Linked DNA regions of Ovis aries. The protein of the gene in region 2 interacts with the protein of the main gene of each other region in a pairwise test. Links are inferred from orthologs where the notes say so. Each region holds a gene or a part of one and is shown on either strand. Other genes may lie near its edges. The genes, in order: PKP4, GOLGA2, NDN, PRKAB2, RAB39A, SCAF8 and RITA1.

Region 1 (4,293 bases), on a different chromosome or scaffold from region 2:
TTATTAATTCTAATTTAGAGCCAACCCTCTAAACTAGAAGGCACACTTACTATGAACATACCTGGAAAACAATGTAGCAGCCAAAAGACACAACTTTATCCATCACAAAGTTTTTTTCTTTTCTCTGTTTCCTTTCCCCACGGGTTCTTAACCAAATGAAAGGCTCTCATTTTATACTTTTCAATGCCCTTGATCCCTACACAGAAGGCGTTAGTAGACAGCTGGACAATCAACTATGTTCCTGAATCTGATACAAAATAGCCAAGCATGGAGAGGCTTATAGTAAATTCAACCTCCAAAGCAAACTGTGTCAAATAAAAGCACACATAGTATACTTTTCCAAATCCAGAAATACTTATTTTGGACATCAACTGTTCTCATGTTGATGAGAATGAGAGAATGCTACCATTTTTTGTAACTGTATCACTGGTACGAGAAAGGAAATTAAATACTTTCTACAGCAATACACTACATTCAAAAAGAGAAGTGGTCTTCTACTTTACCTTTTAAAATAACACAATCTAAGTCCTGTTCTAGCAAAGCAACTTCTGTCAAAAATTTGCTTTTTGCATTAAGGAAAATAAATTTTGACCAAAACTATATACTAATTAATCATTTTGGATTTTACACATAAATAACCACCATTCTTTAAAAGTCATAGACCTGTATTTTTATTTTACGTTCAAACTCGGTGCCAAAAATAGAGAAAGAACTGCGACCTCAACTAATAAATTACATCTTGAAATGTACATCATCTGTAGTACCCCATTACTTCCAATGGTAACCGACACGCCCCGAATTTAACTGTACCAGACAGTCCTATCTGTCCCATCGCTGACCAAACACTGCTTCTCTGTTTCTATTCATTATGGATTGTAAGAGGTCTAAACACAGCCCAGTATGCGAGAAAATAATTACAATTTTCGAGAAAAAAAATACAATTTTTATGACAGTAAAGTGATGCATTCAAGTTATCTCCTGAAGAACATCCCCGTCCATGAGCATTAACAGACATTTTTTTGATAGAGCCAAAATACGTTGGCTGCAAGCTCATTACTCAAAGAACCTTAGGCACCCTTTCCTGCAGATCAAAAAAAAAAAAAAAAAAAAAACCTCGTAAAATCCAGGCACTATTTAAACCTTGTAAACCAAAGTTGCCAAGAACCTTGTGCAATTATCAATAACCTTGGCTATACCGCCACCGGCACGAAATTCACGGTCCTGGAGACCAATGCAGCAAAATCCCAGACGAAAAGACTAGCTGAAGCCCGACAGAACTGCCGCGCTTCCCCTCCGCCGCCCTCTGCCGCATGGAGAAAAGCCAGGGGAGGAGAGGAGTGGAGAGAGGCTCACCAGCTCCGAAGATGCTCCGGTGACCTCTGACTGCTCAGCGAGAGCTGGGCTGGGGAAGGCTCTAGTTCTGCCGCGGCGGGCCGCGTGGACTATGCTCCCGGTGCATTCCTCGCATTCCTGCACAGTCTGTCGCCAGCCGAAGAGCCCGCGGTGCGCGTCCCCCCCGGACACACACACCTGCTTACTGCTGCGCCCCGCGCGGCCACGGCCGCCGCGGCGCCTCTACTGCCCGCTCTCGCTGTTTGTCGCACTCAGCCAACAACGCAGCCAAATTTCGGCCCAACCGCTCAGCCCCTCGCTTCCCGGGTAGAGGGGGAAAGAGAGAAGGGTGGGCAGCGCCAGCGGCGGGCAGGGACACTCTATCCGCCTGGGGGTGCCGCAGCTCCTCTTCAACTCCTGGCAGGGAGAGAAGGAAGCGGCCGCGCAAGAGGGCAGCCGGGGAAGCTTGCGGCTAGAGAACCGGGAGGGGTGGAGCGTGAGCATACGCGGCGAGGAGAGAGGGGCGCACTGGACAGGGTGGGTGGGCAGGACCAGCTAGAAGCGCGGGACTCCGGGCAAACGCAAGACAGCACTGGCAGAAGGGACGTGGGAGGGGGGGGGCGGGGCAAGGTGCAGGAGTTGGGGCTGGAGAGAAGGACGGGCCGCCCTGGGGGTTCGCGAAGACGGGCGCCCAGGGGTGTTGGGGGCGCGAGGCGGCGTACCAGGGGGGCAGGAGAGGGGAAGCCTCCCGGCAGACGTCCAGGAGGGCTCGGCGTGGCGCTCAAGTTTGGGGCTGCGGGCCCTAGATCCAAAAAGGCCAATGCGGGGTGGGGTCGTGCGCTGCGTGTAGGGGAGACCAGGGGAAGAGTAATCACCGGGAAAAGCAAATGGAGGGTGAAACTTGTGCGCCTACCGGGGGGAGGGGAGCAGGCAGGCGAGTGCGGGCAGGAACACGAGGCGGGGCAGGAAAGCCGAGGCGGCCGCGAGGCGGTGAGGACGGAGTAACGGGAGGGAGGCGCCCGTCCCCGTCCCTCCCCGCGCCCCTCGCAGGCAAGTCCCATCTCCGGCCCGAGGGGGCGAGGGCCGGGGGTCTTGTGAGCCGGAGTCTCCGCGCCTTCCCGCAAGCCCGCACACTTACTTTCCAGGTTAGGCAGCAGCCGCCGTCGCTCCGGGGATCAGGAACATCGGCGCGGTGGGGTCGCCGCTGCGGCACTCGAAAAAATTAAAAAAGTGCCGCGGCCGAGCGGCTGCCCGCCCCTCCCTCCCCCACCCGCCCCCTACCCCGAAGCGGCTCTCCCACCACCCCTGGCGGCGGCGGTGGCCAACTTGCCCCGCTACCCCTTGCCCATGGTGCCGCCTCCGCGGCCGGCGTCGACGCGGACTCAGCCCCGGAGCCCCCTCTACTGCCCAGAGGCCGCCGCCGCCCGCCCAGCACTCAGCCCGCCTGCCCAGCCAGCACCAGGCTCCCGGGAACGTCAGCACGCCGCCGTCTCCGGACCTGCTCCCTGCCTACCCCATTGGTCGGAAGGAGAAGGCTGGCTCTTCCCATTGGACCGGCCCTCATATTGAACTGACCAATGGGAACTGAGGTTTCAGGTCGCCATAGAGACCGATGCTGTTAAGAGCGAGAGGGCCTGGAGAAGGTGGGGAGTGAGGATGAAGGTGTCTCTGGCTTTGGGTGCGGGAGGGGGTGGAGGAAAGAGCTACCGAGGGATTCCTGAGTGCTGATTGAAATTGGGACAGCTTTCGCTTTGTCTCCCTGTCAAACCCAGTTGTGCATGGAAGGGTTAGTCCGTCGCGTCAAAGGCAGGGACAGCTGAGCCCCTAGAGGAATCCTTGAGAACCTGGGAGTGGGCATTTCACTTTTTCTGCGATTAGGGAGTCCCTCGGCCTCTGCCCTTTGGCCTTTGACACGTGTGCACCTTCTGCTTCTCCAGGTGAGTTTGCACCCCATCCCTTAAATCATTGCTTCTTCCTGACGTCACTGACCCACATCAAATCTACTTGTTCTTCCCAACCACTCCCCCTTCCCTGGGGTGGATCTTGCATCAAAATTTTGGGTCTAAAGACTTAAAAGGAGACTAAACATCATTCAAAGATTTCCTTTGGATGATATTTTTATGAGGAAACAGGCTGACGTGTTGTATGATGGATGTCATCTAGTCAGTGCATGAGATGTGTTCCCTGCTTCCCAAAGAAAACCTCTAATCTCTCCACTGAAGGATATTTATTAAACGCCCATCTGTGTGTGCATTCTGCACTATAAGCTTGACAGGTGCATGCTCTTTCCCCTAAGAGTTTACAAGGTGGGGCAAGACACAGGCAATTGATCCTTCATGTCTTCTGATGATTTCACAAGGGAGTAAAGGAAATAGATTACACTTGGTAGATTTTGTTTTCTGCCTATTTTCAAGTTTGCCTCTAAATTTGATAAATAAACTGAGACATGGAGTCACATAGAAAATCTTGAGCTTTAATTACAAGTGCTTTGCTTTCATTTAAAGTCACTTTGCTAGTTCGTAAATACAGATTGCTTTTTGTAAGTAATTTTCATATCTAGATACTAGCTATTAAAATAGAACTTTGTGAACATACTGGGCTTTTAAGCATTATATTGTTTTGTGATATAGTCACTGATATTCTTATGTTCCTTCTTTTTGTTGATTTTGCCATTTTTACACTATTTTTTTAATTAAGAAGACTATGTTTAGGCTACTGCCCTTCAATTTGAAGGGACCATATTGTATGAAAAAACTGATAGAATTTTGGAAATTACAAATATTTTGTTAAGAGCAACAGATTAATGTGTGTGCAAGCCACATATGTCTTTCTACTGTCCTGAATTTTAAGTTGGATAATATGCTACTGTTTGTTATCTTGCCATAATTAAAAATTACAAAAATAAACAAGAATTGTTCAGTGGTACCTTAATTAGAAAGTGTCTTCCGCAGTTTGTAGTAA
Region 2 (4,070 bases):
GTCCAATGGGGGGATCGCTACCCCATTGGAGCGGTTAAGGTCGGACACCAGCACCTCCAGAATGTCCTGAATCTACAGGAGGCGAAAAGGGAAAAACAAGGGCAGGGGAAAAAGAGAAAAGTGGCTTAGAGAGGCAAGAGAGTCAAGGAAGGAAGAAGACACGGGTTGGGGCAACGGAATGCTGGAGAAGAGAGAAAGGAGTCAGAAGGGATCAATACAGGCCTGGGTCATTTTTCCAAGTAGCCACTTGCTGCCTTGCCAAAGGCAGAAATCAAGGGAAACAAACAGATGGAGAAGTCCCCTGAACAATGCAGTCACATAGCTCCTCAGATGAACAATGCAGCTCTTAATAGCTTCTTAGACCCTCAGGCCTAGACTTTTAAAAACCAGACTTCAGAAACAGGGTCCACTTGAATGAAGTGGCGGCAGAGGGGCTACAGCTAAAAAATAAGCTTTAAAGGCAATAATCTGATCCACCAGTATCATTTTACAGATGAGGAAACTGAGGCCCAGGGGAGGAAGTGATTTTCCCAGGGCCACCCAGCAAGCTGGTGGCAAAGATGGTCTTAAAACTCAGATGGTCTCCTAATCCAACTGCCTGAGGCCCTCTCCTCACCACACTCTGGGGCTCTACTGGGGCCTCTAAATGGAAAGTCTGAGGGCAAGCAGCTGCCTGGCTTTCCCCATGAGGCTGGGGAAGATCACCAGAGCAGTTAAGTCAACTAGCAACTACTCTTTATTGAAAGTCTACTCTGCACCAGGCCCTGTTTTAGGGGATTATAATAAAAACGACGACAATCTCATTTCAACTTCCTTGGTGTAAGACAGTATTACCCCAATTTTACTAATGTGGAAACAGGGATCCAACGAGCTTAAACAATTTGCCTAAAACCATATCCCTTGCAGAGAGAAAGGGAGAATTCAAACCCAAACTTCTTAGCCAATATCTGACATTTCTTCCACAATCTTAACCACTACCCTCTATTGTTGCCCCTTGAGTGCCTCATCCCCGGAAGGCGGTCAGGCAAGACTCACATCCTCAGGTGATGGACAATCACCAGAAGTGGTTGTCTCAGGGCTACTGCCATTCTTGATCTTTCTTTTTTTCTTAGCTCCTGCAGGAACACCAGGGCTGTTCTTCTGCTGATACTCCCTTAACTGTAAAAAGGAAAAGCAGTGAGGCTCATGAGAACTATACGCCCCCTGGATCCACATCCTACTTTACAAAGTTTACAAAATACTCTTTGCCTTCTAATTTAATGCCACAACAACCCTACAAGGGCTGTCGTCCTCAATGACTTGAAATGGACTGATAATGTGGCTAGGAGCAAAAGGTGGCAATGAAAGGCAACAACGGAATTTAAACTCAGCCTTCTGACTCTGAGTTCTGGGATTACAACATCAATCAGCAGCTGCTAGGGGGCAAAATCAGCAGCAGCAGAGGAAATGTAATCATTTGATCAGACATCAGGGTCCCTTCTTCCATCTCTATTAGAGCTGCACACCAGTACTTCTCAAAATTTTACATCAATGTATCCTGATGGCAGAAGGTAGAGAAGACACACACCCCTAGTGATTCTGGAAACATAACCGAAAGAGGACAACCCAAACACATTTCAGAGAGAAGTCCATTATAATCATACAAATCTACGCAAATGTCATCCCTACGTATATTAGTATAAAAGGTTTTTTCTCTCTCAAGAAAATCAAGCAAAACTGATCCATCAGTCCCATATTTATCCTGTGGCACTTGGGCTGCCCCACGTTGAGGTGATGATTTGTGAAAGATTCCCCGTTGTGAAGTTCAGTTTCCCTGGATGTGCTCCTCAGAGGAGCACTGAATGCTGAGTGACGGGCCCACTAGTCTCAGAATCATGGAAAATTAGAATGTGAAGTAGAAACTTCCGATTAAAAATGTGAAAGTCTCTCTGGATAGAGACCTGGGAGAAAACCAAACTAAACCAAACACCTTCTCCCCATGGCCACCCAGAAATACTGTCAATGTTTGGAGATCACTGGGGGAAGTGTAGGCTTTTTACATCAAACGATGGGGGTACAAGTCTAGAGGTGAAGGAGCCTGAAACCCAGGTCCGATCTAGGTCCCATATCCCCCCGAGTCTCCTTTTTCAAGCTGGTGCCGGGACCCAGAGAGACGGGAAAGGATGTGAAAACACAGTGGGAACTGGGTGGTAAAATTTAACACCGAGTTTCCTAGGCACTAATGACAGTTCCAAGGGGCATTATGACGTAGCCACACGGCACTGATCCCTAGCAACGCCCGAGTAGCCGCTCCGCGTTGAGTCGGGGGGCGGGGGGCGGTTGATGGGGGGCGGGGGGGAATGCAAAGGCCAGGACCGAGGTTTTCGGAGTCCGGGAGTTAGGGAGACCAGGGAGCTGCGGAGGTGCGGTTCCGGGCGACAGGAGACGAAGGCCAAGCCTGGTGTGGGAAGCCCCGGGGGTCACCGGCCCAAAGTCACCTGGGGGTGCCGAGTGAAGGCGGCGGAGACTGGGCAGCCGGGGGGCGGAGGGGTAGCGGGGGGCGGGACTGGCTGCGAAGACTTTGTTGGCGGCGGGGGGGGGGGGGCGCCAAGGGGCGCCGAGGGGCTCACCCCGTTGCCTTGGAGGCAGCACAGAAACTCTGGCCATGGCCCGGCCTTCGGAGGGGTCAGGGAGCCGCGAGCCCGCACGTTTTTACCTTTTTCTTGGCCGCAGCCAATTTGCTCTGTCGGGTTTCTTCCGACATCCCGGGACGGGGCGGGGGAAGGGGGGGCCACATCAGCACGATCCCGTCAACCTCTGCGGAATCGCTTCCGGCAGCCTCCGCGCCGCGGTGCCACTCAGCCCAGAGAGGGCGGCTCCGGGGCGGTACTAGGAGGCCGCGGTGTGTTGGAGTGGCCTCAGTTCTCTAACCCCATTGGGTAGTGGGAAAGATACGGGGCGGAGACGCACGGCTAAAGCCGCCGCTTCGCCCGAAAGAGAGGGTGGAGTCACAAAAAAAAACACTGAAAGCGCAGCCGCAGAATAAGCGGCCTGTCCTGCCCACCTCGGCGGAGAGGACTGAGCCGGCTCTCGCGGAGTGCGTGCGTAGCTACGCTTTGTGACGTTTCTAGTCTCCGTCACAGGATTCCAAGTACCTGGCGGACCTGAGGAGACTCGTTTCCGTCCTCGCTCTGGACCCTCCTTCTCTGCAGCGCCCCCCGAGTCGGGGGCCCCGGACGCCAGGGCTGAGGAGGTGGGCAAGGAGCTGATAGCAGGGGGAAAGCACATCTCTTCCCAGTCCCTTTTCGTGACACCCCTGTAGCTCTGCCTGAGACTTTCTCTCCTCAGAGATCACTTCCATAGACGCACCCCGCGCCCCCCCATCCACTCCAACACTCCTCCCTGTCAGAAACTCCCCTTTTTCGAGAATCCCTACCCTGATCCCAGAACCATTCTCTGTCCCCTTCCCAACCGGATCCAGTCTGGGTTCACAGCTGTTCCTCCTCTCCACACCCCCACAGTACCCCTTTCCTCCCCAGGCGGCCTCTAGGTCCAATCAGACTTCTTCCCTCGGCTTCCTCTGCAGGATTCAACCAGGACTTTCCAAAAGTTGCGGCGGGGCCTTCCGATCCCCTGTGAGTATGTAGCCTGTGCCCCCTCCCTGCCCTCCCCCCTGCATGCTGCTCCCAGCCCTTCCCTCCTTCCCTAACAGCGGCTGACCCACCCCCCAGCCCTCCTCGGGGTCTTCCCCCCAGCTGACCTGATTCCACAGAGAAACTCCAGGTCATTTCTCAGTCCTTCCCCGTCATCTTTTCCTCCTGCCCGCCAGGCTTCAGAGAAGAAACAGCGTTCCTGTCCTTTGTCAGGGTTACCCCAGACCCTACAAAGGGGCTCTGTCTCTCCTCCTCCGTGACATCGCCACAAGTGGTTGGCTGGTTTTGTTCTTTTCACACCACCCTCCTTCCCTCACCCATTCCACCCACGTGGAAACCACTCTCATTCCCTCAAACACAGGTGCTCTCTCCTGCCCTACAGCACTTGCATATGCTGTCCCTTGTGTGGAATACTTTTTTCCAGCTTTTTGCCAAACT
Region 3 (3,413 bases), on a different chromosome or scaffold from region 2:
AGTCTGGGTCCAAACCCTAAAACTAAGCCTCTCCTCCCAGGAAGCCTTTATGATCCAGGGAAAGCTAATTATCTGCTTTATTTCTGTATTTCCTCCACGGTGCCTGCTTCACAAGGCTATTGTGAGGATTAAAGAGAGAAAATATATGTAAGGGTTTAGTACAAGGCCTCTCTTAGTGCCCACAAAAGACAGCTATTATTTTTTAGAAAATATGGAAAATGTAAGAGGGGCAATTACTCTAAATATCAGCATTTGTTATTTCTATATAATGTGATTATGACCCCTGTTTTGGTTTTTGCACTTCTACTTGTCAAAGCTTTGATATGAACTTGTGAATTCCTTCCTGAAAATAAAACTATGCCCTTTACATATTTATGAGTCATGATGAGTACTGACATCCCCGTCCTATTAGATGAAATAGTTATATCTGTATACTTTGTAATTCCCATTCCAAACCCATAATATTCTGTTAAGAAGATAAAGTACACTTTTTCCATGAATGACTGTATCACAAGAATCTTTAATGTTTAAAGTTTACTCATGGTGAGGTTGTATCTGTGTTTAGTAAAGTGTGCCCACATTGAGTCTGTTTCAGTTCACATCACCAAACTCCACAGGGATGTTTCCCGTGCCCAGGCAGAGCACAAAGACAGGGGTCAACTTTTCTCTTGGTTAGGCCAGCTTTTCTGGGGAGTTTTTCCAAACTCTGCAAGACCAATTTACCCCAATACACAGCCTCCGTCACACGTAAAAGAATATGGAAAATGCCTCAGTGTATTTCATAAGTTTAGCATGTCTCTGGTACAAAAAATTCAAGAAAGGTAGCACAAAAGCGAAAGCACCAACTGAGCTTAATTACAAACAACCATGCATGAATCCTATACACTAATATTACTGAAATGAACACAACATTGCATTAAGAGGTATAAAAGCACTGTATGGAAAACTTAAAAGTTACACGTGAAATACTGCACTGTAGATCCTGAATACTCTAACGTCCCACACTCCCACCCTTCCTCCACCCTGGTGAGGGGCAGAAAACTTCCATCTGCCTCCAGACCTTGCTAGTCCTCGGAGACACTGTTGCGGGGGCAGTGGGCAGTGGGGTGGGCCTCCCGCAGGGCTCTAGCCTCTTCCAGAGCCTCCCTGTAGCGGGAAGGCCAGGCCTGGGGGTTTTTCTTAAAGACCCTGGCCAGGAACTCCATGATCTGCATCTTGGTGATTTCGCGGCTGGCACGGGAGCCCCAGAAGAACTCGTACTCAGGGGGCTCGACATGGGGGACGCGCTGGTACTTCAGGTAGTTCTGCTGGACGAACTCCTCGGTGATAAGCTTTCTCACGTCTCCGAAGGTGGAGTGTTTCTTCCAAGGCCTCAGCCCCAAGATGCGCAGCACGTTCCAGACTGCACTCTCTCGAGCGCCGCGACCCTTCACGTAAATGAGGCTCAGGATCATCAGCAGGAGGCCCGTCATCGGCATGCGGTTGCTCAGAGCGACCCTGTCCAACTCCTCTGGCTCCAGAGCTTTGACCAGCGAAAACTCCATGGTGTGCAGGCTGGTCAGCCTCAGGTGCAGCCCGAACACGCGTGCGAGGATGAGGCTGGTGCGCCGAAGGATGCTTCTGCACCACTTCTTGTAACTGCCGATGACATCCTTCACCATGTCTGGGAACCAGATGATCATCCTCTTCTGGTCCTTGACCAGCACGTACCACATGAGCTCGTGTGCCTTCTGCACCAGCTGGGCCGGGGCCGGGGGCGCCGGGCTGAGCTGACTTGTGCTCGGGGCCTGGTGGGGACGGCCTTCGTCAGCGGCCTGCTGCAGGGCCTTCGGGTCTCCCTCTTCGCCTGGAGCCTGGGAAGGCAGCGAGACCAGAGGGGCATCAGGCGGGCTTAAGGGAGGGCGCTCTGGCTCAGTGAGTGTCGCGGCCTGAGACCCCGGAGGAGAGGGCCCCCCGGTAATGCCGGGGCTGCCGTGCACCTCGGAGTTGGAGGCCTCGGCCGCAAAGTTGGGGTCGCACACATCCTTACTTTGTTCGGACATATCTGTTCGGTCTCGCAAGAGCAGGGCCGCCGAGTCCGAGAGCTCTTCGAGTCTGCTTTCCCTCCGCGGACTCCTGGAGAGGAAGTGCGCATTGCTGCGCGCGGCGCCTTCCGCAGAGGCCAGGCAGGGCGGGGCGGCGGCGGGCCGGGCCAATGCGCCTGCGCGTCCGCGCGCCTGGGGCCCGGCAGTCGAGTTGGCGGGCGGGGCTCCTGGTGGGCTGCAGGAGGGGGCTAGGAGGCCCCCAGTAAGCATAGAGGGTCCGCTAGAATATGGGCCTCAGTGATCACACCCCCTCCCCAGGTATCCTGTTATGGCTAAGGAGGAGTTCTTGAGGAGGAGGGGAGGGAGATGGGTGAGCACTGGACAAGGAGTCAGTTTAAGGGACAGATGGCAATTTAAGCTTCTGAAATGCTGAAACTGAACTTTCTTAGGAAGCATTTGATTAGGTATATCCAAAATCAAGTTAGAGATCAATCCAAGAGTAAGAACTAGGCTGGTGTGTCAACTAGGTTTCAGATCAGTGTGAGAATTTAAACTGAGAGAACAGCCAGGATTGCCCAAGAAAATATGTCAACTCTGAAAAAGAGAAGTCGCTTAGTCATGTCCGACTCTTTGCGATCCCATGGGCGTAGCCTACCAGGCTCCTATGTCCATGGGCTTTTCCAGGCAAAAATATTGGAGTGAGTTGACATTTCCTTCTCCAGGGGATTGAACCCAGGTCTCCCGCGGTGCAGACAGACAGTTTACCCTCTGAGCCACCAGGAGAACTAATTGGACAAATTGGAATTCTGAAGAATAACAACAAAAATTCATTGATTTCCTACCGTATGGAAGAGTTTTGAACAAGAAATGCAGAATGTTGTCAATCCGAGTGTGATCGAAGTTCTCTTGAAGGCAATATAATAATGACTTTGTTAGTGTTTTAATGGTCATTGATTTTGGTTTTTCTATTCCATTGGATAATTTTGATGTAAATTTTGTTTCATTAGAATCCCCTCACACAAAGATTATATTAGCATAGACTCATAGGATGTCTTTCCGCCTGTTTTTCCAGGACCTTCCTTTTCTTTATGACTGTTTCAACCTCCGCTTTTCTTCCTGTGGAAACTTCACCTTCTTAGAGCACAACATCCCCATCTTCCACAGATACTGAATAGTATCACATGCAAATCCCTCCCAAGATACTTTTTTTTTCTTTTTTAAATTAACCTAGATCCCCAAAATTTTCCCAGATAACAATTGATTTGAGATGTAACAATTGGTGGTTGTATATCAGTTTTCAAATTTAGAAACCAAATCTGCAGTTTTGTTTGAGACTGTCAACAAAAACAAAGTTGACAGTCCCAGAGGTGCATCCTTTAAAAAAAAAAA
Region 4 (3,500 bases), on a different chromosome or scaffold from region 2:
AAAATGGAGATCAAGTTTTTCTCTTAAGTCACTTCCTTATATAATGTGAAAGTTCCTTCAGTTCTCATTGTTTACTAAGGATTTTGTTGCCACTAACGTCTTATACTGTAGTTTTGAGGAATATTCAGAGACAGTATGGAAGGTTGACTGCCTCAGCCATTTTGAAAGTAAAGCGCAAGTGAATAGTCTTTTTTTTTTATCCCACATTATTTTATTTGGTATTAATAATATTTTGGCTTGATACCATAAAGACTTATTTACCAAAGTCATTTAAGCCACTCTAAAGTGTGGGTCAACAAGCTTTTTCTGTAAAGGGCCAGATAGTAAATATTTTAGACTTTGTGGTAGACCATACAGTCTCTGTCACTGATATTCAGTTCTGCCATTGCAGCATGAAAGCAGCTATAGAAAATGAGAAAGTGAATGAGTGTGGCTATTTTCCAATGAAACTTATAAAAGCATCTGGCTCACTGGCCATAGTTTGCCAGTTTCTGTTCTAAAGGATGGTAATGAAAATAAACTTGACTAAGGAGTCAGTTTTCTTCTGCAACCCTACATACCTCATTTGATATGGGAACCACTTTTTTAAAGGAAACTGTGTTTTTGATCCGATGCTTCTTGTAGCTCCACAATTTTCATCCCTACTCCTGAAAATTACTAGTATAAGCCTGACATGGATGAATAAGTAAGATTTCATAACTATTTCTCAAAATTTAGGAAACCAGTGATCTGATTTTTATGTATTTAATGTCTTTTTATAACCTATTAACTAAAGAGGAAATTATGAATTATTTAAGAATTTTAGTATCTCTAATTTCTATTACAACTGATAATTGAGATGCTTATATTTACATATGAAAAATACATGGCTCAGGACTTCCTTGGTGGTCCAGTGATTAAAACTCTGTGCTTCCGCTGCAGGGGTGAGGGTTTGAATCCTTGGTTGGGGAACTAAGATCCTGCATGCTGCATGGCACAGCAAAAGAAAAAAAATAGATGACTAACTTAATTATTTTTTGTAGAACTGTGCTTTATTTTGATATTTTTCTCTTAAGAGATAAGCATATCATGATTGTCTGCCTATGAGTTAATCTGGTGACAGGAAGTAAGATTTTTTGTTTGTTTGTATTTTAAGGGACATCCCAAGACTCTGAAAGGATGAGTGATTCATGCAGACTCAGAAATTAAGCTGTGATTTGGGCAGACTTTGGGCATAAGCCATTTGACCATTTGGGTCCTAGATGAGTTTCTTTTCTATAGTTTTGTTCAAAATTTGAAGTAGTTGCTCATTTCAAGACTTATTAATCCTTATCAGAAATGTAGCACCCCTCTCTGCCCTAAGGAGGAGAGTGACCTTTTCAGAATTCCAGGGACACAATTTAGGGATGACCTAATCCTTCTTACAGCTCCCTGGGGACAAAGAGTTTGTATCATGGCAGCAGGATTTGGAGGACTCCGTAAAGCCCACACAGCAGGCCCGGCCCACTGTTATCCGCTGGTCTGAAGGAGGCAAGGAGGTCTTCATCTCTGGGTCCTTCAACAATTGGAGCACCAAGATTCCACTGATTAAGAGGTGAAGACAAGTGTCTTGGTTGAGTCTGCTGGGTCCAGGAGTAGAGACCCAATTCCCTTTCTCAGGAGAGAGACTTGGCTGGACTACTCCTCTCCACCTGCTAGGGACTTTCTCTAGAACATTTTTTGTGACCAGTAACTATATCTGTGACATTTTTTTTAACCTTATAGTGAGTCAGAGATGTTTTACCACTTAGAATGTCATTGCCTCAGAGGGACTTCCAACAGTTTTGGAGGTATGTTCTTTAGGATTGTGTTAATAGAAGTCCTTTCTATGCTTGTGGGAAGTCTCCCGTAACTGCCTGAGTCCAGTTGCCCTGACTTCTGCACTAAAACAAAACACGTTGTAAAGTTCTAGGTAGTAATGTTATTTGTTGCTTGCAGAGCAACAATGAGTTATGTAACTGACTATGGCCCTTTGTATATAGGTAATTTTCTAGAAAATGCTCACCAAAATGTGGAAAGAGTACCTTGAGGCACTTCATATCCTGAACCTACTTGCTATCTTTTTTACACTCCTGAGGGATCTGTTCTGCTGAAGCAAAATAGTTGTACTAAAGTGAAACATTCTGGGGGATTAATATCTTTATTGTTCTTTTTCAGATATTAGTTAAAAATTAAAGTTGTTAGGAGGGATAGCAAATACATGCTCAAGGGGATATAGAAAAGGAGAATGGGTTTATAAATTATTTTTCACTCCAGGGGGTGCAATCACTTAGGAATGTGGGAGATCACTGGTATGATACTGTGATTGCCTCATGGTTTTACATTTATCTTCTGTCTTCTAATAAGAATTTAGCCTGTTTAACTTTCTGTTTTCTTCTGTAGCCATAATGACTTTGTTGCCATCCTGGACCTCCCTGAGGGAGAGCACCAGTACAAGTTTTTTGTGGATGGACAGTGGGTTCACGATCCATCAGAGGTAAGACCTTGACCTCCGAGGGTAACCACTGGCTTAACAGTCTCCTTTTAGCTGTTATTCCGCTGGGTGTCAGATATCATTGCTGTTGGATTTCCCTGTTGATAAAAGATGGTGGTGTCAAGTATAATCTCTTCTAAAAAGAGGAGAGTTGAATGGATGAGATGTATTTGAAATGGGGATTCATGAATTTTTTTTTTTTTCCATTCACTGTTTCAGCCTGTGGTTACCAGTCAGCTTGGCACAATTAACAATTTGATTCATGTCAAGAAATCTGATTTTGAGGTGTTTGATGCTTTAAAGCTAGATTCAATGGAAAGCTCAGAGACATCTTGTCGAGGTAATTTTGTAGTATTTGCTCTTTCTTGATCTTTCCTTTCTTAAAATGCATGTTTCTTCCCAAGAGTGGTTTTTGTTTTTTTCATTTTCGACTTAGGAATCTTCCAAATTGTATGTATGTTTCTCCTGTAAACATTTAGGTCATATTCTCAGAGAATGAAATCTGTGTAATGTGTTTGATTTCACAGTAAGTGAAAGTAAATATATTTGATCTACATTAAATTTACATTGTAACCCAACACACACATCACACAAACCAGTAACATGTCTTGCACTATGATGTTTGCCTTTATTACATGTGAAGCACTTTATTTTCTACTTTATTCTTCTTTTTATAAACGACTAATGTGCTGTGATCTATAGTTTAAAAAGCTATTTCTAATAATATTTCAGTTTTTTCATTGACCTTTGACAGTATCAACTAGCAGGAGCTACTTATGTCTCCTGTGCCATGTTTAGCTGCCTCAACTTAATCCCGCCAGATTGATAGCTTAGTTGGCAGTTGTATATTTAATAGGCCCTACCCATATGGCAGTCTTTGGGGAAAAAAGAGTTATAAAAACCTCAAATTTCTTTTGTGTATATGTTAACTGAAATTTTTAAAGTTTTGGGTTAAAAAAAAAAAATCCTCAATAGAGGAATAGATCTCTATGCTTTTGTTTCTCCCAGT
Region 5 (4,019 bases), on a different chromosome or scaffold from region 2:
CCTGGTTTGGGCAGATTCCCTGGAGAGGGAAATGGCAACCCACTCCAGTCCTCTTGCCTTGCAAATCCCATGGACAGAGGAGCTTGGTGCAGGTTACTGTCCATGGGGTCGCAAAGAGTGGGGCACGACTGAGCGACTTCACTTTGGAAGTACAAACAATTGGAAAGGGGGAGATTTGAGGGATAAATGGCATGAAATAAAGACTACTTTCAAAACAAAAGTTTTAAAAAGAGGATTAAACATATCCTTGAAAACAAAACTTATTCCTCCTAAATAAGAAAGGAAGTAAAGCTGAATAACAAAAGTATAAGTTTGGATGTGGACAAGAAAAAAGTTGAATTGTTAAAATTCTATTTTAACAAAAATTCACTTTAAAACTGCTTAACTTTTAAAAGAATTCATTATTAACCAGTTTGAAGAAAGGCATGAGAATCTCGCCAGAATTCAGGTGTGCTTTGTTTACTCAGATTCCTGACCAGAAACAAGCTAAGTAGAGACCACTATGGGATTTTTTCCGACATATAGAAGAGACTGAGAATAGGAGCTTTTATGAACATCTCACCGTTTCATTTTCTTTCCTTCTCTCCTTCCCCAAACAAAAGGGCCCTAGAGACGATGGAGGCGATTGGCATTTTTCTCATTCTTCCGTAGTAATGAAGGCAGTGAGGAAGAGACGGTGGTGGCATGAGCAATGGCCAAAGTCCTTGCTTGAAGCATCCAGAACTTGCTCTGCAAATTTATTTCAACCTTGCTCTCAACTCCTTCATCTTAGAACACCTGGGAGGTGGCAGTCAACAAGGATGGAGAGCAGAAAGCCGCGAAAAGATATCTGGTTCAGCAACAGTGGTCACAGAGCTGGTCAAACCCGATGAAAGTGGAAACCACATTTTCAAAAATCAGAGCCGGAATCTGACGAGCCCGCCCTGACGCCTGTAAAAGAAAATGATTTTCACTTTTCATTGGCTGACCCTCCCAGAGTTGAGACCTTTTTTCATTTTCATTGGTCATTGCCTCTGTCACGTCCTTTCACCACACCCAAAGCGCCCAGTGAGCTTTGGGGAAAACTGATTTACAGAGGTCGGGGGCGGGAGTTCTCAAGCAGCTAGACTATTCCGCGCCCCCCGCCCTAGTCCGCCCCGCCGCTTCCTCCTCACGGCCCTACCCCGCCCCCTGGCCTGAAGCCACGCCCCTTCCCCGGCCGGGCCCCGCCTCTCCCTCCAGAGAGGGCGGGGACCTGGTGGCGGCCGCAGCCGCAGGAATATGCTGGAAGCCGACTGGCGGGCGCTGGGGAGGTGCTGAACGGACAGTTCCCGCCGCTTTATTTGCCCGGCGGCGGGTAGGAGGGTGGGGCGGCCTTAGAGTCCGCTGGGCACGTGAGCGATGGAGACCATCTGGATCTACCAGTTCCGCCTCATCGTCATCGGGGACTCCACCGTGGGAAAGTCGTGCCTCCTGCACCGCTTCACTCAGGGCCGCTTTCCTGGTCTGCGCTCCCCCGCCTGCGACCCCACCGTCGGCGTAGACTTCTTCTCCCGCCTGCTGGAGATCGAGCCCGGCAAGAGGATAAAGCTGCAGCTCTGGGACACGGCGGGACAGGAGCGGTTCAGGTAGGACCCCGGGCGCTGGGACCCTCCCCAGGGACCGCACCGCCCCCTCCGTCCTCCTGGGGCCCCCTCCCTAAGCGTTGGCCGCACCGGCCCGAGTCGGGAGCAGCTCTGGCCCTTCCCTCTCGAAAGTGCAAACACTCCATTCTCGCTTCCCCTTTGCCCCTCCTCTTCCAGGGACGACTTCCTCCTCCGCAATTTCTCACTTCTTTCTTTGGCTTCTATTTCCTGCGCCCCCTTTCCGTTTTTCCTTTCCCGCCTGAACCCAGGTCACCCTCACCAGCTCCTCTTACCCAGCGCTCTGGCCCTGCTGGCATTTTAATCCCCAACTCTTCGGCTCTCCTGCTGCCTACTCCCCAAACTCAGCGTCCCTCGCTGCGCACGCCCTGACCTGGCCACCCTTCTCCAAGCTCCGCTTTTCCTCCTCTGACCGAGCAGCTTCCCATCTATGCGGCCCCGGAGAACTGCATAGAAGGATTCCCAGATTCATGATTGATGCGTTTAGCTTCACAGCAAGCAGTGCTCCAGCCCAGATTACAGCATGAGCTCATTGGGCACCGTGCAGACGGAGATGAATGCGGTAATGGTCTGAACATCTCACAGCACCGAATGTGGTCATCAGAAATACAGGGCCAGGACCCGTGAGAGTGTGTCTTGCACAGCAACCAAGGACATAGACACAACTGAGGAGTTTTTGTTTCATTGATATTGTTTTTTAAGGATTGAGTTGTCTTTAGAAGTTTGTCATCACTGGTGCTTTGATGGAGAAAAGAGAGATGTACATACTGAGATTTGTTAGGAACTTTTCCTTTAATTTATTCATAATAAGTACTTAACGTTCCAGGGTGATAATAGATCAGAAAATACTTTTCTACATGGAGGAGGAATACAAATAAATAGTCTCATTCTACATGCTCATTGAAACCCTGAAGGATTTCACAAAAGTGACTGCCAAATAAAAACTAAATGTAAATTGTATGCATTTCCTAGATATTTAAGATGGAATCAGATATGAGGCACATTTAAAATTTTTAGGATTCAAGAACTTTTTTTTTAGAGAAGGGTAAGGGATCTGATATACTGTAGTGTTTGGGACTCTTGTAAGGTTCTATTATCCAATGGAACTCATTAAAGCAAACATTTGGTAGTCTTCTGCTTTTGGAATTGGTACTTCTTAACCATACTTCCCAAACATGGCTCCCCCTCACCCCATCCAACACCCATTCTGAGTGAGATCAGCGTACTTCGCTGAGAAAAAGAGAAAATAAAATAAAATAATTTTAAAATAATTTGTCAAAATCTAATTCCTCATCTGTAAAATGGAGTCATTATGATCTCTAAGATTCATTACAGTTTTACCATTGTAAGGTTGACAGCAAATTCATTCACTTGTGATCTCAGTCAGAGATGAACGTTAAGATATTTCATGGTCAGTAAAAAGCATTTACTATAGCTCTTGCTCTGCCCTCTAAAGTGAAGTGAAGTTGCTCAGTCATGTCCTACTCTTAGTGACCCCATGGACTGCAGCCCGCCAGGCTCCTCCATCCATGGGATTTTCCAGGCAAGAATACTGGAGTGGGTTGCCATTTCCTTCTCCAGGGGATCTTCCTGACCCAGGGATCGAACCCAGGTCTCCCACATTGCAGGCAGACTCCTTACCCTCTGAGCCACTAAAGTGAATATAGTGAAAACATGTTCTTTATACTTTAACTTCTATACCGTAACTTTATATCTTAAACTTCTAGCAACTACTGATAATTAAGAAGTATAGGTAGTAAAATCTTCTTGAGTCTAAAACACTTTCCTTAAAAGTAACTTTTTAAAAAAATTAATTAATTTATTTTGTGTTGTTGTGTTAGTCGCTCAGTCGTGCCCAACTCTTTGCAACCCCATGAACTGCAGCCCTCCAGGCCCCTCTGTCCATGAGATTTTCCAGGCAAGGATACTGGAGTGGGTTGCCATTTCCGTCTCCAAGGGATCTTCCCAACCCAGGGATCAAACCTGGGTCTCCTGCACTTCAGGCAGATTCTTTACCAACTGAGCTACAAGGGAAGCCCCTAATTTATTTTATTTTAACTGGAGGCTAATTATTTTAAAATACTGTGACAGTTTTTGCCATACATTGAATCAGCCATGGGCGTACATGTGTCCCCCCATCCTGAACCTTCCTCCCACCTCCCTCCCCACCCCATCCCTATGGGTTGTCCCAGAGCATCGGCTTTGAGTGCCCTGCTTCATGCATCGGACTTGCACTGGTCATCTATTTCATATATGGTAATATACATGTTTCAGTGCTATTCTCTCAAATCATCCCACCCTCACCTCCTTCCACATAGTGCAAAAGTCTGTTCTTTACATCTGTGTCTCTTTTGCTGCCTTCCACATAGGATTGTCATTACTGTCTAAATACCATAT
Region 6 (4,125 bases), on a different chromosome or scaffold from region 2:
TAAAAAGTACATTCTTCTCAATCTTGTTCAAAATGTATTTCTCTTCCTCAATTCTGTAACTATGCTGTGCACCAGCCCCATTTCCAGAAGTGTAAGCATAATATTAGTAAACAAGGGAGTAAAAGATGGTTTAAGTTCTTTGAAAATATATAAGGGGAAAAAAAAATAAAGGGAAAGGAGACAGTGTTCCATAAACTACAGTGGGAATACCACTACAAATCTCAAGTTCTTGTGTAGATGAGATAAGAGCTGAAACATCAAGCTAGCCATGTAAATATTAGGCTCCTTATCCTTAATGTCAATAGCGAAATTTAAAAAACCAACTGTAACATTTCTACTCCTCCTTGCTCCATTGTGATCAACCACAGTCTACTGACCACTTGTTCGTATCTATCACATGGCAGGGAGGGCTGGGAATGCAGGGTACATATTAGGAACCCCCAAAATAAACAGGAGACACCCATCAAAAAGGTCTAGGGTAAATCAAATAATTGGAAGGAAATAGGAGAAACCTTTTTTATACATAATTTAAATGAAGACCACTACTTAGTGCTGTAACACTACATGTAGCAAACAAAAAAGCTACACAGACTTTCCCCCCCTCCCCTGCAGAGCTGTGAAATGATCAACAATAAATTGGAACATATAGTATCTTTATTTTTTATTTCAGATTTTAAGGACAAGGAGTGAAAGCAGATTTTATAATCTGACACAAATTATCAGCTATAAATTCATAAATAAAATGGAAAAGATTCTGAAGTTTACACTCAAATCTGTATCAAAAAGCAGTAAAGAAAACCTTGTATTCAAATGAAAATCCTTTCCAAAAAAAGGCTTTTTTTCATATAACTGTCACGGCTATCTGCTTTAATACGGAAAGTCTAATTCACATGACTGTTAGATCTAACTTTTAGCCTCTTCTAAGTTTCTCAAATGCTAATTCTCCAAAGAAGGAGGGATGGATAGAAGGGAGGGAGGGAGCAGGGAAGAAAAGAAAAATTGTTTAGGCTATCACTATTAGACTATATTGAACAGAGTATTAGTGCCTCCACATGAAAAGTTCTTAAAATGGATGCAAATCTAATTAACATATTAAAATATTTGTATCTAAGGCATACAAGTACGGATAAGCTGTGCAGACATCTACTTGTTAAATGTTTGTTTAATATAATTAAGCCTATTCATATTAGAGTGTTTAAAAGGTTTTAAAATATTTTAGGCTTCCCTGGTGGCTAGACAGTAAAGAAGCTGCCTGCAATGCAGGAGACCCGGGTTTGATCCCTGGAAAAGGAAGTAACTATCTATTCCAGTAATCTTGACTGGACAGAGGAGCCTGGCAGCCCATGGGATCAGAGTCGGACACGACTATTTTTATCAAAACGTGTCTCCCTTCAGACTAGTAAACTCAATCAAATAGTGAACACCGAACAGCTGCTTATTTAAAATCTAGCCTTATGTATGACACGTGAAGGAGCCCATGGGAAATGCCTCTCCCGCATCTTTCCTCTCGGCATGCACAGCTCTCCTGCTTTATGTCGTGATGGTGAGAAGAGTTGGCGGTGAGGAGGGTTGGGGGGGAGGTAAGGACAGGAAAAATTTGCAGAATAACCTCGCTTCCCGACCAACCATCCCCCTTAAGCTTAAGTCCCCGGTTGGCAGGTTACCTAGCCAACGATATCTCGGTTATAAACAAACACTGCTTGCAATGTGACCACAGATGATCATCCCAGGAGGTGCTTTTCCAGCACTTCCAAACCCTACCACCCCTATCAATGCCTGCCTCATTAAGGACCGGGGGAAGGCCTGAAGCGGGGATGCCTGGCCTCCAAGTTAAAAATCCCGCAGGCCCAGGAAAAGAGGTGGGCGGGCCAGGCCTCGGCGTAACTGACCCGCAGAGAGACCTGTCGGGAGCCTCCGGGGGAGGGCCCAACCGGTAGCCTCCCCCTCCACCCCCGCAGCCACTCGGGAGTAGGTGCTGGAGACACCGGAACCTCCCCCGCCCCCACCACCACCCCGGGATCGGGGGAGGGGCGCCGGGACGGAGCAACACCCCTCCCCCACGGGCACGGCCAGGCCGCCGCTCGCCCCACCCTGGAGAAAGCCCTGCGGGCCCGTGCCCAGCCCTCCCGCGGCGGGCCTTGTCCCGGGTCGGGGGTCGGAGGTCGGGGTGGGGAGCGTGGGCAGGAGCGGGTCGGAGGGAGGAGAGGCGAAGACTGCAATACCAACCTCGCTATTGAAGGTTTTCACAGCCTCCATGTTGTCGGTGCGGAGGCCCGGAGCCCGGCGGCGGAAGAGGCGGCGGCCACCGCACTGGGTGGGGAGAGCGAGACGGGGGCGGCGGCGGCGCCGCGAGGAGGGTGGGGGGTGTGAGGGGGCGGGCGCGCCGACGGCGGCGGGGACGGGGGGGGGGGGGCCGGGCCGCTGCGACCCCCCGGGCCGAGGGGAAAGGCGAGGCAAGCACTGGAGGGGAAGGGCTCTCCCTTAGGGGCGGCGAGGCCCCGGCATGGCCGCTAGGGCGGGCGGAGCGCCGGGCAGGGGAACAGAGGCGCTGCCGGGGCGGGTCGGCGGCGGCGGGCGGGGGGGGGGGGGCCGGGCCGCGGCGCCTTCTCTTCTCCGCCCCGCTCGGTCTCGGGCTTCCACCCTCCAGCCCCGGTCCCCGACTTCTCTCCACCCCCTCCTTCCTCTTTCCTCCGGCGGGCTCCTGTTTCGCCTCCCCGCCGCTCGGGGCCCGTAGGAACCAGCGGCGCGCCGCGAAGACGGAGGAGGAAGCGCTGGCAGCGGCGGCTGCGGCATCCAATATGGCGGACGCGGGTCGGGCCGCGCAGCTCGGGGATCCGCGGCGCCGGCCAGCGCGCCCCCTGGCGTCGGGACCGCGCGGGTCCGGGCCGTCGCGCGGAACCATCGAGCGTGCGCGCGCGCGGGCGGGCCAGAGCGTCGCCGCCGGGAGGCCGGGCTCAGCTCTACCCACCCCAACCCCCGCCCGGTCCCCTCCACACACCACCTCCTCGCCGCTGCGGGAATCCGGGCTGCAGCCCCTTGGAGAGCCCTGCGGGGGGAGGGGGCCACTGCAAAGCGTTGATCTTAAGAAAAACCCAAATCCCGCCCCCACCCCCCTCCCGGCAAGTTTAGGCTATAATATCCGCGTTTCCGTTGTTTCCATAGGGACTGGCCTCTTTACACGAGGTTTAGTTGATTTTTTTTTCAAAACTTTACTGGACGTTGGCCTCGAGGTTAACAGCCAGAAAACTTCCTAGTTGGTCACTTATTTGGGAACGATGTGCGCAAGCATTTTTAATAGCGTCGGGAGAAAACCTTTAGAAACAAAAGCTTGAGATTCGGGCGGGGGCAGGGGAACGAGGGAAGCACGCCTGCAGCCAGCTTCTCGGTGCAGGAAATGCACGCTGCATAAAATCCGGGGGGGACTGGCGTGGTGCAGACAATGAGTTCATTTGTCTGCGCGGCGGGAAGCGGTGCCCAGAACGCACGAGATCTGCATAGGCGAAAGGGCACCCGTCCTCTATAAACGATTGATTATTCTAAAGGAATTTTGCCCGAGGTTGCAGAGAATCGGATGGTGAATACAGTTTTTTCTAGATGAAGTAGGAGATGCTGCTAGCAAAATGCCTCCTCTGTCACTTGATGCAATGTGAGATAACCGATACCAAATTAAAAGCGAGCATTTAAGTGGAAAGTTAGGTGTGTTATCAGTGAACCCCAAACACTGTCGTTTTGCTGGGAGTCGTTTTTCAGCAGTTGCTGCTCTTCAAAGGAAAGGGAGATAGATGACTGCGGGATTTTTCTCTATAGGATTATTGGAACCAAGGTAAGAGCTCAGCCCAGAGCCCTGTGAAACAGGAAGACAGACCCTTCTTGACGTGGTAGGGCCTAGTAGTTTTTATGAGTCTTCTCCACTGACAACTTTAATATGGCCGCTGGCTACTTAGAAGGTAAAATGGAAAACCAGAAGAGCTTATATTCCATCTTGAAAAATCTCAGATCTTTTTGCCTCCCATCCTCATAGGCTAAGCCGTTGTGATCTCTTGCCAACAATTGCAGTAGCCTCCTAAACTGGTCCCTCTCCCTCCTTCTCCGGACTAGCCAGAATGGGTAATTCTTTTTTAAGAC
Region 7 (4,270 bases), on a different chromosome or scaffold from region 2:
TGACTCAGTGGTAAAGAATCTGCCTGCAATGCAGGAGACTTGGGTTTGATCCCTGGGTCAGGAAGATCCCCTGGAGGAGGGAATAGCAACCCACTCCAGTCCTCTTGCCTGGAGAATTCCATGGACAGAGGAGCCGGGCAGGCTACAGTCCATGGGGTCGCAAAGAGCTGGACACGACTGAATGACTAACACACACACAAGCGAGGCCACAAAGGTGAGGCTCTAATCCAATAGGATTTGTGTCCTTATAAGAAGAGGAAGAGGCACCAAGAGTGTACACACTCAGAGAAAAGTCCATGTGAGGACCCAGGGAATAGCTGGCCATCTGCAACCCAAGGACAGGCTTCAGGAGAAACCAACCCTGCTGGCATCTTGACCTTGGACTTTAAGCCTCCATAACTGTGGAAAATCAAACTTATGCTGTTTAAGTCTATAGTATTTTGTTATATATAACAAACCTGATTGACTAATATATTAGTCTTCCATATCTCTGTTCAAGACACTGATGACAATCAATAAGATAGAGTCCTGTGGCCTCCCTCGAGGCTGAAATTCATTGAAATAGTCTAAATAATCCCTACAAAAATAACCACTGGCATTAGATTCCATTTTTCTAACTTGTTGGTGAAAATGAAGCAAGAACCATTTTCAAAATGACTTGCTTCAGTTTGGAATCACCATATCTATGTCATTTGATGGATCAACCACACTAATAATCTTATGCAAACTGTTCTGTGACTTTGGATAAATCAAGGGCTTCCCTGGTGGCTCAGAAGGTAAAGAATCCTCCTGCAGTACAGCAGAGCCAGGTTCAATACCTGGTTTGGAAAGATCCCCTGGAGAAGGAAATGGCAACCCATTCCACTATTCCTGCCTGGAAAACTCCACAGACAGAGAAGCCTGGCAGGCTACAGTATATGGGGTAGCAAAGAGTTGGACACAACTGAGCGACCAACACTCTCTCTCTCTGTTGGACAAATCACCTCACCCCTCTGGGCCTCAGAAGTCCAGTCTAATGCCATTACCATTTATTTATTCCTGAGTGTCGGGTAACTGTGCCAACCACTGTACATGTCTCATCCCCTTAAGTCTTCTCAATAATCCCACTGGGTCCCACCTTCCACTGTGAGGAAACGGGCTCAGAGAGGTCAAATTGCTCGCCCAAGGTCACACAGCAGATGAATGGCAGGGAATCTTCCTATCCTATTACCTGTATTTGTTCTTCTTCCTTGGTGTGAGGGTTGGGGTGCTGCCACTGGAGGAGGTGGACTCACAGCTCCCATTGGCCCCCAAGGCCTGAGACACCCCTGTCCCCACTCCTCTGGGTCTGTTGGCCTTCTTCATCCACGGTGGGTCAAAGTCTGGTGGTGCGGGCCGGGTGCCTGCAGGGCTGCCAAACAAAGTCTCATCCACGTATGATGGCCTAACCTTGACCCGGTAGCCACTCCGGCCACGGTGCTGAACGTGGAGGGTCTGCATCCCGCTGATGGCCATCTCCACCGGGGTCTTCATGCTCTCTGTTGTCCTGAGTGACAGCAGGGGTGCTCTGCTTGCCAGGCCCTACATCCAGGGCTCCCTGTGAAAAGGGGTCAGGGTAGCAACCATCTGTCATCAGAAAAGACTGGCAATCACTTTAAGGGCCCATCCCCAGGGCAAAAAGGTCACATTCTCCCTCAACCAGTCTTCCTCAAAGGGGAGCTGCCAATCCCAGGGAACATTTCAGAAATTTGACATTTTTTGAGTTGTTGTAATGAAGGGGTGGGCGTCCCTGGTGGCTCAGATGGTAAAGAATCCACCTGCAATGTGGGAGACCTGGGTTTGATCCCTGAGTTGGGAAGATCCCCTGGAGGAGGACATGGCAACCCACTCCAGTATTTTTGCCTGGAGAATCCCCATGGACAGAGGAACCTGGCGGGCTACAGTCCATGGATTCGCAGAGTTAGGCACGACTGAGTGAGTGAGCACACAGAAATCACGGGGACAGGGGTGCTACAGATGAATATTTAATGAGTAAATGCGCATTCCTAGCATACTGGTGTGTGTTCAGTCAATATTTATAGAACACTAGGGGAATGAACAAGAGATTTGGGCCTCTGCCTATTCTGGCACCACACAGAAAATCAACTATGCTGATGAGGAATGGGGGAAACAGGGCAGGTTTCTATATCTTGTACATATTTATCGGGCAGAAATAATAACCAGCATTGATCGATCCCAAGCCTACCTCCTGCAAAGAGCTTTACAAGCATTGTCTCATTTCATCCTCTCAACACTCCTGTGAGGTAGCTTCCATTATGTTCATTCTATAGATGACAAAACTAAGGCTTCAAAAGGTGAAGTTGCAAGTGTCAGTCACACCTATAAAGCTAAAACAGTGGAAATTGAATTTGAACCTGATTAAGGGTCTAAAGCTCCTGCACTTAACCATTCCCCTACTAGGGGATCACACCCAGTCCTCCAGCTGCCCCTCATTCACTGATCCCCAAGTCCACGTCCCGGAGATGTCCGATGTGCCCGCATTATCGAGTTATTTTCCTACCTGAGCATCTTGGTTCGCTGACGTCGGTCGTTACCGTCAGCGTCCCCTGCTCCCAGGCCTGGACTCCTTTGTGGGGCGCTCGGGCATCGGAGGCGCGCGCCGGACATCCGAATCGGCAGCTCTGAATCCCGGGAGCCCGCGACTCCGGGAAGTTCCAAGGCCGCCCCCAGCTCCAACCCCAGACCGGGGTACGGGGCGGAACGACTCAGAGCTGGCAGCCGGGCCCTAGCGACGTGTGTTCCGCGCGCGCGGACGCGCGTCAAACAGCAACCCGTGAGTGACAGGATGGGGCGGGGCGGCCGGAACCATTTACTCCTCGGGGGTGAGTTAAGGCCCCCGATTCCGGACGCCCCCCGGAGTTCCCCAAAGCTTCGGAAGGGGTACCTTCCGCGCCAGCGAGGGGAGTGTGTGTGTGTGCATGTGGATCAAGCCCCTGGAGGCAGCAGAAGGAGCAGGAACGCAGCCGGGGCCGCGTGGAGGCGTCCCCCGTGCCCCCGCCGCGCTGTTGGTATGTCCCTATGGGCTCCGCCCCCTCCCATTTCCCGGCGCCGGGGCCCGCATGGCTGCCGGCACGCGCCCGGCGGCCGCCCCGCGGTCCGGAGCTACCATGGCCCAGTGGAAGAAGAAGAAGGGGCTCCGGAAGCGCCGGGGTGCGGCGTCCCAGTCCCGCAGCAGCGACTCGGAGGACGGCGAGTTTGAGATCCAGGCAGAAGATGACGCCCGGGCCCAGAAGGTAGGGAGCGCAGGGCTGGGATACACGTCGGAACCCGAGCTCCGCGCGGTGCCCGGCAGTTCCCCCAGCTGGGGAGCGGGCACGGCTGAGGATGGGGAGAGATCGGCTGGCCGGGGGATCAAGGCAGGACCTCCGGCCTGAGCACGTGTCCCAGGACCCTCCACACCTGGGGTCTAGACTCCCGAAGCCTCTGTGTTGGGTAAGCTCGGGGCCTGCGGGCCTTCCTGGCTGACGCTTGGTCTAGCGCTTCTCATTGGCTTCTTCCTGGCCATCGAGGGCGGGTCCTGGTTTCCATTCGCCCAATGAAAAGTGCGGGTGCTGAACATTGGACTTTTGAGAGTTTGGGGGTTCTTCGGCAGACAAATTAGGAGAAGGCTGCACCTCGTGGCTTTGAGACAGCGACGCCCCCAAACCTCTGGGAAACTAATAATAAGTTAAACTCGCGTCTATTGATCACTTACTGTGTGCAGGCTCCGTGCTAAAAGCCTTTATAAGCCTTATCATTTAATCACCACATCAACCCTGCGAGCTGAGTGCTTATCCTCATTTTCCAGAGAAGGAAACAGAAGCCTGGAGGGGTGAAGGAACTTTACCAAAACCTCATAGCTTGTGAGTGGGAGAGCCAGGATTCAAATCCAGGACTGTATGGTTCCAGACCCTGTGCTATTTCCACTACTGAGTGCTGAGTGTATGCAAATGGGGGGGGGGCGGGGGGAGGGGGAACAGGTGTGAGCCCCAGTGGAGCAAAAGAGCTATAGCCTGTTGTTTCTCACAACCTTGTGCTTAGCGGGTGTCTGGCACAGAGAAGACTCTGGGTATAATAGATGAATGAGTGGGGGTTTATATGAAGAGAGCCCTCTCTGCTCCTCAGAAGTAGGGACCAGATGGGGACCTTATTCCATCTCAACCGAGCCTCACACAGAAGGTTCTCTATAACTAGGGACCAAGGCACAGCCATGTGTTCAACACCTTGTACTGGCTGTGGGGGAGTACACATG

Evidence for each region.
Region 1: the proteins of GOLGA2 (region 2) and PKP4 interact in binary tests that used the Homo sapiens proteins (3 or more experiments, as listed by UniProt). The two-hybrid records come from large-scale screens. The link is inferred for Ovis aries from reciprocal best matches to the Homo sapiens genes GOLGA2 and PKP4.
Region 3: the proteins of GOLGA2 (region 2) and NDN interact in a two-hybrid assay, tested with the Homo sapiens proteins (2 studies listed by BioGRID and IntAct). The link is inferred for Ovis aries from reciprocal best matches to the Homo sapiens genes GOLGA2 and NDN.
Region 4: the proteins of GOLGA2 (region 2) and PRKAB2 interact in binary tests that used the Homo sapiens proteins (3 or more experiments, as listed by UniProt). The link is inferred for Ovis aries from reciprocal best matches to the Homo sapiens genes GOLGA2 and PRKAB2.
Region 5: the proteins of GOLGA2 (region 2) and RAB39A interact in binary tests that used the Homo sapiens proteins (3 or more experiments, as listed by UniProt). The two-hybrid records come from large-scale screens. The link is inferred for Ovis aries from reciprocal best matches to the Homo sapiens genes GOLGA2 and RAB39A.
Region 6: the proteins of GOLGA2 (region 2) and SCAF8 interact in binary tests that used the Homo sapiens proteins (3 or more experiments, as listed by UniProt). The two-hybrid records come from large-scale screens. The link is inferred for Ovis aries from reciprocal best matches to the Homo sapiens genes GOLGA2 and SCAF8.
Region 7: the proteins of GOLGA2 (region 2) and RITA1 interact in binary tests that used the Homo sapiens proteins (3 or more experiments, as listed by UniProt). The two-hybrid records come from large-scale screens. The link is inferred for Ovis aries from reciprocal best matches to the Homo sapiens genes GOLGA2 and RITA1.

The regions. Positions count from the first base shown.
Region 1 is NC_056055.1:151,253,571-151,257,863, forward strand, and holds the start of PKP4 (plakophilin-4), read right to left. Parts: upstream 2,801-4,293; 5' UTR 2,471-2,800; intron 2,173-2,470; exon of another isoform or gene 1-2,172. UniProt on the Homo sapiens protein: Plays a role as a regulator of Rho activity during cytokinesis. May play a role in junctional plaques.
Region 2 is NC_056056.1:8,011,033-8,015,102, reverse strand, and holds the start of GOLGA2 (golgin subfamily A member 2), read right to left. Parts: upstream 2,801-4,070; 5' UTR 2,777-2,800; coding exon 2,696-2,776; intron 1,159-2,695; coding exon 1,036-1,158; intron 73-1,035; coding exon 1-72. UniProt on the Homo sapiens protein: Peripheral membrane component of the cis-Golgi stack that acts as a membrane skeleton that maintains the structure of the Golgi apparatus, and as a vesicle thether that facilitates vesicle fusion to the Golgi membrane.
Region 3 is NC_056071.1:620,230-623,642, forward strand, and holds NDN (necdin), read right to left. Parts: upstream 2,131-3,413; 5' UTR 2,043-2,130; coding exon 1,065-2,042; 3' UTR 501-1,064; downstream 1-500. UniProt on the Homo sapiens protein: Growth suppressor that facilitates the entry of the cell into cell cycle arrest.
Region 4 is NC_056054.1:98,147,487-98,150,986, reverse strand, and holds part of PRKAB2 (5'-AMP-activated protein kinase subunit beta-2), read left to right. Parts: intron 1-1,406; coding exon 1,407-1,573; intron 1,574-2,400; coding exon 2,401-2,494; intron 2,495-2,710; coding exon 2,711-2,831; intron 2,832-3,500. UniProt on the Homo sapiens protein: Non-catalytic subunit of AMP-activated protein kinase (AMPK), an energy sensor protein kinase that plays a key role in regulating cellular energy metabolism.
Region 5 is NC_056068.1:17,177,965-17,181,983, forward strand, and holds the start of RAB39A (ras-related protein Rab-39A), read left to right. Parts: upstream 1-1,219; 5' UTR 1,220-1,380; coding exon 1,381-1,607; intron 1,608-4,019. UniProt on the Homo sapiens protein: The small GTPases Rab are key regulators of intracellular membrane trafficking, from the formation of transport vesicles to their fusion with membranes.
Region 6 is NC_056061.1:79,150,992-79,155,116, reverse strand, and holds the start of SCAF8 (SR-related and CTD-associated factor 8), read right to left. Parts: upstream 2,801-4,125; 5' UTR 2,794-2,800; coding exon of another isoform or gene 2,482-2,793; 5' UTR 2,257-2,481; coding exon 2,227-2,256; intron 1-2,226. Other genes in the region: actin nucleation-promoting factor WAS-like, read right to left, coding at 2,482-2,793. UniProt on the Homo sapiens protein: Anti-terminator protein required to prevent early mRNA termination during transcription. Together with SCAF4, acts by suppressing the use of early, alternative poly(A) sites, thereby preventing the accumulation of non-functional truncated proteins.
Region 7 is NC_056070.1:61,268,829-61,273,098, reverse strand, and holds the start of RITA1 (RBPJ-interacting and tubulin-associated protein 1), read right to left. Parts: upstream 2,801-4,270; 5' UTR 2,540-2,800; intron 2,367-2,539; exon of another isoform or gene 2,225-2,366; intron 1,577-2,224; 5' UTR 1,513-1,576; coding exon 1,211-1,512; intron 1-1,210. Other genes in the region: ATP-dependent RNA helicase DDX54, read left to right, coding at 3,099-3,272. UniProt on the Homo sapiens protein: Tubulin-binding protein that acts as a negative regulator of Notch signaling pathway.